2 linked regions of the Xenopus tropicalis genome follow. The protein of the gene in region 1 purifies or fractionates together with the protein of each later gene. This does not show direct contact. Links are inferred from orthologs where the notes say so. Each region holds a gene or a part of one and is shown in the gene's direction. Other genes may lie near its edges.

The links.
Region 2: the proteins of rab10 (region 1) and gdi2 purify together in Homo sapiens (co-immunoprecipitation; 3 studies listed by BioGRID and IntAct, with this or other methods). This does not show direct contact. The link is inferred for Xenopus tropicalis from reciprocal best matches to the Homo sapiens genes RAB10 and GDI2.

The regions. Positions count from the first base shown.
Region 1 is NC_030681.2:154,267,720-154,272,101, forward strand, and holds the start of rab10 (ras-related protein Rab-10), read left to right. Parts: upstream 1-1,544; 5' UTR 1,545-1,692; coding exon 1,693-1,819; intron 1,820-4,382. UniProt on the Homo sapiens protein: The small GTPases Rab are key regulators of intracellular membrane trafficking, from the formation of transport vesicles to their fusion with membranes.
Region 2 is NC_030679.2:84,472,918-84,476,569, forward strand, and holds part of gdi2 (rab GDP dissociation inhibitor beta), read left to right. Parts: intron 1-334; coding exon 335-434; intron 435-3,007; coding exon 3,008-3,179; intron 3,180-3,652. UniProt on the Homo sapiens protein: GDP-dissociation inhibitor preventing the GDP to GTP exchange of most Rab proteins. By keeping these small GTPases in their inactive GDP-bound form regulates intracellular membrane trafficking.

The DNA.
Region 1 (4,382 bases):
AATTGGGGGGGGTACTGTGTATGGGGGGGCTCTGTGTATGGGGGGCTCTGTGTAAGGAGGGCTACTGTGTATGGGAGGACACTGTGTAAGGAGGGCTACTGTGTATGGGGGGGCACTGTGTATGGGGGGCACTGTGTATGAAGGGCTACTGTGTATGGGGGGGCACTGTGTAAGGAGGGCTACTGTGTATGGGGGGGCACTGTGTATGGGGGGCACTGTGTAAGGAGGGCTACTGTGTATGGGGGGGCACTGTGTATGGGGGGCACTGTGTAAGGAGGGCTACTGTGTATTGGGGGCACTGTATGGGGGGGCACTGTATGGGGGGGCACTGTGTAAGGAGGGCTACTGTGTATGGGGGCACTTTCTATGGGGGCATTGTGTATGGAGGGTACTTTCTATGGGGTGCTGTCTATTGGGCCATCGTGGGCACTATTTTAACTATTTTAAAAATGGGGTGTGGCAATTGGGGCGTGGCCAAAATTTTTGGGAGGTATGCACTACCCCTGCCCTATGCCTCCTCTCCAGTTACTGGCATGGCTGATGTTTCCCTGCCCTCTGTGCCCAGTCCATGAGGTTATTGTAGTTTTGCAGCTTCAGCAAAGAGGAATAGAAAAGGGAGCTTCTGTCTACCCAATTGCATGCTGGGTAATGTAGTTTTATATTAATCTTATTCTGTAGGCTAATTGTAAGAGACAAACTACATTACCCAGCATGCACTGAGATGCAAGGGGAAACAAATCCTTGACTAGTTCCCAAACTACAAACCTGCCAAGACTCCAAAAACAGTCCAAATTTGTACCTTGTTGGGTTTGTACTTTGGAAACCCGCCCAATAAGTAGCCCAATTTGGTGGAAAACCCGCCAACCTGGCAACCCTGCCCCTCCCCGTCTGACTTTGGTACCGAACCGTGATTGTCATGTAACTGCCTAATGTATAAAGTTGGATTAAGAAAAAAAAAATCCCTTAGGAGACAGGCGGTAGCGCGCAAACCATCAGGCTGAGGGGAGTGGCCGCCATTTTGTTGACTGCATCGCAAGGTGGGCGGTGCCTGCTCTGTTGGGACGCGCAGAGGCCAGCATTCAGCCAGTGTATGGTTGCGCGCTCCCGCGGTGGGCGGTGCCTGCTCTGTTGGGACGCGCAGAGGCCAGCATTCAGCCAGTGTATGGTTGCGCGCTCCCGCGGTGGGCGGTGCCTGCTGTGTGGTGACGCGCAGAGGCCAGCATTCAGCCAGTGTATGGTTGCGCGCTCCCGCGGTGGGCGGTGCCTGCTCTGTGGGGACGCGCAGAGGCCTAGGGAGAGGCCTGCATTTAGCCAGTGTATGGTTGCGCGCTCCCGCGGTGGGCGGCGCCTAGCTGTGGTGAGTACGCGGAAAGTCTGTGGGAGGGATAGCCATTTTGTCCGGAGTCTCCCAGCGAGGCCGGAGAGGAGGGGCTCAGAGAAGGTGGGAAGAGGCCGGGACAAGCAGGCGGCACTTAGCGAGCCGAGAAGCGCACTGAGCTGGGTGTGGGGCCGCCGGCTTTCTTTCTCTTTTCCCCTGTGTGTGCGTGTGCTTCACCCGGTGCTGGGGGCACCCTCCGGCCGGACAGTCTCCCGTCCCGTCCCCGCTGGGCCTCCCCGCCCCCCCGTGTATGAGGAGCCGGCCGAGCCGAGGCCGCAGCCCCAGGCGGAGGGAGTGAGACGGAAACAGTGCCCATGGCGAAAAAGACGTACGACCTGCTCTTCAAGCTGCTGCTGATCGGGGACTCCGGGGTGGGCAAGACCTGCGTGCTCTTCCGCTTCTCGGACGATGCCTTCAACACCACCTTCATCTCTACCATCGGTAAGCGCAGGGGGGCCCGGGTGGGCTCATTGGCTATGGGGGGGGGGGGCTTTGCTCCTCCCCTTGGGTCATCTGAGAGGGGCAACTTCGGGTTTGATGGGTAACTGACAGTAGGCAACTAACCTACATGGGGCATTGCCAGCTGTCCCTATGGGCATATTGACTGGTCCCTATGGGCATATTGACTGGTCCCTATGGGCAGCTGATAGGGACATATTGACTGGTCCCTATGGGCAGCTGATAGGGGCATGTTGACTGGTCCCTATGGGCAGCTGATAGGGGCATATTGACTTGTCCCTATGGGCAGCTGATAGGGACATATTGACTGGTCCCTGTGGGCATATTGGGCATATTGACTGGTTCCTATGGGCAGCTGATAGGGGGACATTGACTTGTCCCTATGGGCAGCTGATAGGGACATATTGACTGGTCCCTGTGGGCATATTGGGCATATTGACTGGTTCCTATGGGCAGCTGATAGGGGCATATTGACTGGGCCCTATGGGCAGCTGATAGGGGCATATTGACTGGTTCCTATGGGCAGCTGATAGGGGGACATTGACTGGTCCCTATGGGCAGCTGATAGGGGGACATTGACTGGTCCCTATGGGCAGCTGATAGGGACATATTGACTGGTTCCTATGGGCAGCTGATAGGGGGATATAGACTGGTCCCTATGGGCAGCTGATAGGGGGATATTGACTGGTCCCTATGGGCAGCTGATAGGGGCATGTTGACTGGTCCCTATGGGCAGCTGATAGGGGCATATTGACTTGTCCCTATGGGCAGCTGATAGGGACATATTGACTGGTCCCTGTGGGCATATTGGGCATATTGACTGGTTCCTATGGGCAGCTGATAGGGGCATATTGACTGGTTCCTATGGGCAGCTGATAGGGGCATATTGACTGGTTCCTATGGGCAGCTGATAGGGGGACATTGACTGGTCCCTATGGGCAGCTGATAGGGGGACATTGACTGGTCCCTATGGGCAGCTGATAGGGACATATTGACTGGTTCCTATGGGCAGCTGATAGGGGCATATTGACTGGTTCCTATGGGCAGCTGATAGGGGGACATTGACTGGTCCCTATGGGCAGCTGATAGGGACATATTGACTGGTTCCTATGGGCAGCTGATAGGGGGATATAGACTGGTCCCTATGGGCAGCTGATAGGGGGATATTGACTGGTCCCTATGGGCAGCTGATAGGGGCATGTTGACTGGTCCCTATGGGCAGCTGATAGGGGCATATTGACTTGTCCCTATGGGCAGCTGATAGGGACATATTGACTGGTCCCTGTGGGCATATTGGGCATATTGACTGGTTCCTATGGGCAGCTGATAGGGGCATATTGACTGGTTCCTATGGGCAGCTGATAGGGGGACATTGACTGGGCCCTATGGGCAGCTGATAGGGGGACATTGACTGGTCCCTATGGGCAGCTGATAGGGACATATTGACTGGTTCCTATGGGCAGCTGATAGGGGCATATTGACTGGTTCCTATGGGCAGCTGATAGGGGGACATTGACTGGTCCCTATGGGCAGCTGATAGGGACATATTGACTGGTTCCTATGGGCAGCTGATAGGGGGATATAGACTGGTCCCTATGGGCAGCTGATAGGGACATATTGACTGGTTCCTATGGGCAGCTGATAGGGGCATATTGACTGGTTCCTATGGGCAGCTGATAGGGGGACATTGACTGGTCCCTATGGGCAGCTGATAGGGGCATATTGACTGGTCCCTATGGGCAGCTGATAGGGGCATATTGACTGGTCCCTATGGGCAGCTGATAGGGGCATATTGACTGGTCCCTATGGGCAGCTGATAGGGGCATATTGACTGGGCCCTATGGGCATATTGACTGGGCCCTATGGGCATATTGACTGGGCCCTATGGGCATATTGACTGGGCCCTATGGGCATATTGACTGGGCCCTATGGGCATATTGACTGGGCCCTATGGGCATATTGACTGGGCCCTATGGGCATATTGACTGGGCCCTATGGGCATATTGACTGGGCCCTATGGGCATATTGACTGGGCCCTATGGGCATATTGACTGGGCCCTATGGGCATATTGGGGACATTGACTGGGCCCTGTGGGCAGCTGATAGGGGGACATTGACTGGTCCCTGTGGGCAGCTGATAGGGGGACATTGACTGGTCCCTGTGGGCAGCTGATAGGGGGACATTGACTGGTCCCTGTGGGCAGCTGATAGGGGGACATTGACTGGTCCCTGTGGGCAGCTGATAGGGGGACATTGACTGGTTCCTATGGGCAGCTGATAGGGGGACATTGACTGGTCCCTATGGGCAGCTGATAGGGCCTGGTAGGTCTGTGCCACACACAGACAAGTTAGAAGTAAGTAACCATTGTACTGCCCCATGTACAGACATGTCAGTGGGCTACAGACCTTATGTTACCCCTGTTAGGAGTCACCTGCTCACAGAGCCATAGTCGCTGGGATTCGTCTCCCTGTTCCCAGCCCTCACTGGTGGATTAGCACTTTCCTTTCAGGCAGATACTGGCATTCTACAACAGCAGCGCCGCCG
Region 2 (3,652 bases), on another chromosome or scaffold:
TTTTGTTAATAGACTGTATAAATATTACCCTTTGCATTTTAGATTCAGCACACATCCTGTGTTTTACACTGCTATACCCTATGGCCTAACATTTCCTTTGTTCATATCCATTATATTATGCTATCATTTTTGTTCCAAAGTTCACATTATTTTTCTACCTGACATTCTGTAGACTGTAAACCTTTATGAAGAGACCCTAACCATCTTTGACTGTCAATCTTGTCCTGTATGGTTTTCCTTTAAAAAATAAAAAGCTGGTAATGGGCTGGAAAATTAGATTGTAGTTTGCCTACCTGTTATTGCCCTTCATTAAGTCCCTCATTCTGTTTTCCAGACTGAGTGCCATTTATGGTGGGACATATATGTTGAACAAACCAATAGAAGAGCTGGTGATGGAGAATGGCAAAATTGTTGGTGTGAAATCAGAAGGGGAGGTACGTTGTTATGCATTTATGTTATTACTTTTGCCATGTTTCTGTGCAGGTGTTAGCAATTCTCTGGTAACCGTAATAATGGGAGTACATTATTTTATCCTATATTGATGAAAACAAAGGGATTGTAGAAGATTACCTAAAATGTTCTGTTAAGTATATGAAGCCTTTATTGTTTATTGACCTTAGGTATTGGTCAGCTTGTTTAAATTCTGGACCCTGAAACTGCACAGGTTACTTACTGTGCTCCAACACAGTAAGGGGCAGCTTTATTAAAATGTGAGTTTACATAAAAACTCACCCACGTTCTATTTTTTTTTTCCTTTTGGGATTTTCTAAATTTCAGTTCAACTCTAACTTTCAATTATTGATAAATATGCTTTTAAAAAATCCCATAGGTGTGATGTATTGAGCTCTATTGATTGATGAATCTGCCCCTAAGCATTGTGCTGAACGAAAGTGACCTAATGCAGGACTCTACTCTGTAGAATACAATGGGAAACTATGCAGCTTATCTGTTAGATCTGGCATCTAACGGACATGTGAGAGTCATGAAGTCATAAGGTTATGCATTTAGCTTTAAATAGTGCTTTCTGCCCTATTTTGCAATTTTTTTGCATGGATTGGTTATGATAACGGCAAGCACTGTAAAGTTGTATCTAGCTATTTGTATTTGCTGTAGCAAATAAACTGCATACACTGTTTTTGCCTTATAATTTACTTTAAACTAAACCAAGGACTGTGAATGTTTTAAATATGTAAAGGGCTTCCCCTCTCAATATGCAATTCTCTCCTCCTCTGCTGTGGGTGCTGCATTGGATTTCTTGGCATATGTGGGCTGTAGTAACGCTTGCAGACAAACGCCCTGCTTGTTGCACAAATATGGGCAAGATCTGACATCAGCTCGGGTCAGAACGCTACTGTTAGCTTTCCGAATGCTTCTGCCATATCTTTCTACAGAAGAAAGAAAACAGTGTTTCAATTGCCAAGTAGAGAGTTCACATCTGGGGAAAAATGTGCATTTTTTTCTAAAATTACAAATAATACCATTGTAGCTCTACCTTAAATATGTGAGATATACACAGCCTAATTTGAACCGTTGTATTATGACTTTGGTCTGGCTTCCTACAGTTTTGTATGTTTTTTAAGGATTCACATCTGTACTCTTCATTGAGAGTTAAAGGCATTTCATGGAGATGTGTAAAAAGTAAGCTTGACATTGGTTTCACAAGACTCAGAATTAAAGAAACACAAAATATTTGCACAAAATTAAATTAGATATAAATCAGTAAACGAGTCTGCTAATGCCAAAAGCGAAACATCGTACCAAATGTATAGTGGAGACCCGGCCGTCAATACCCCGGGTCTGTCTCCTAAATGAATGGCAAGCAGAAGAGTCACCAACAAGCAAATCAGTTCAGCATTTATAAAGAGCTCACCGTTGTCTAAAGGTACATTGACCTCACAACATTGTATAAAGTGTCAAGATATAGGACTGTTACTATGTGTCTAACGTGTTCACACATCCTGCTTTTTAAAGTCCGGATCATGCAGCCAACGTATTGGATATTACAATGCGAGCAGGTCAAAAGATACACAAAATACTGTGTGTTGCAATTTGCATACATACGCATGTTAAAATATCTGCCTGTCACTGAACTCTGGAAAGAAGTAGACTGTTTTATATAGGCACAAGTGAAATGTATACGTGCGCCCCAGGGATACGCCCTGTAGTCGCTAACCACGTAGTTCTAGTTGGGTGTGACTTCCATAGTGTGCCAGAGAGAACATTACCCAAAGTTAGAGCTTTACGTGCTACAAACTTATATCCCCCTTGCAAAATTGTCGCTATAAGGGGATCATTGTAAAGAACAGGTATAAGGCTATTGAAGATCCTCCTAATCCTATAAAACTGATTGCTATATGTAGTAACAAAAATCGGTGTTTCTACAAATCTTATTATTATTTATATTTTGATTATTACTTTTATCTATGTTTTTAAGCAATTCCATTCTATCAGTTTGTTATGCCTTAGTAAAGGCTGCTGAAAGAGACCTCATTTTGTAGCCACGATCCATAAACCTATCTCGCAAGAGACAGGCCTGTTCAATGTAGGCCTCCATGGTACTACAATTTCTCCGTATCCTGTAGAATTGTCCTAAAGGGATCCCTCTAAACAAAAGGCTGGGATGACAGAATCAGCCCTTACGAGTAAATTACCAGCACAGGCCTTCCTAAATATAGTTTCAACCCTAAAATCAGAGACAACTTTAAATCCAAAAAGAAAATGTAAGTTCTATTAAACTTGCTGGTGAAGCTCAAATTCAAAGTGTTATTATTCAGAGAATTTACAAAATCCCAAAAATCAATCTCAGATCCCTGCCATGCAAGCAAAAGATCATCCACATAATGTTTATAAAAAATATTGCATATAGAATCCATGGTACCCCAATAAATGTCTCCTCCCTCCAACCCATATATAGGTTTTGCACCCATGGGTGTCCTACACTGGAGGTAAAAAAAAACACCATCAAATTTGAAAAAATTGTTTCACAAGGGCTTTTTTGATTTTGCAGGTGGCACGATGCAAGCAGCTGATATGTGATCCAAGTTACGTTTCAGATCGGGTCACTAAAGTAGGACAGGTCATCCGTGTAATTTGTATTCTGAGCCATCCAATAAAGAACACGAACGATGCCAATTCTTGTCAGATTATCATTCCACAGAATCAAGTCAACAGAAAATCTGGTGAGTTTCACAAGAAGTAGGTAAATTTTGAAATATGTTGCACCAGAGAGAAGCAGGCAGGGGGAAATGAGGACAGAGAGAAGAATTACAGGCCAGGGAAGGACAGAGGCACTAAGGGGCTTATAATATGTGTATGGGGGGCGAAGTGTGTTGCACTGATTTATAATGTAATCACATCAGAAGACTGTAAGAACAAAAACATGTGAGTTTCACAAAATGATTAAAATGAGCTATAGAACTAACACCGGAGTTAAGCAGGCAGAGAAGGAAGAGGAAGCAGCAGAGACACTACAGGGCCTACTAAAAATTTTTTTTTTTTACAATGCCAGTATATATTATGCCTCATTTCTTTTATAACTCCATGTTAATATTTACATTGTGTAGATTTGTTGCAAAGTTGATAGAGGAAAAATGAGCGATTTCTTAGGCTAAACTATGATGGATTAACATTTCCCAGGGAAAGGTCCCCAATT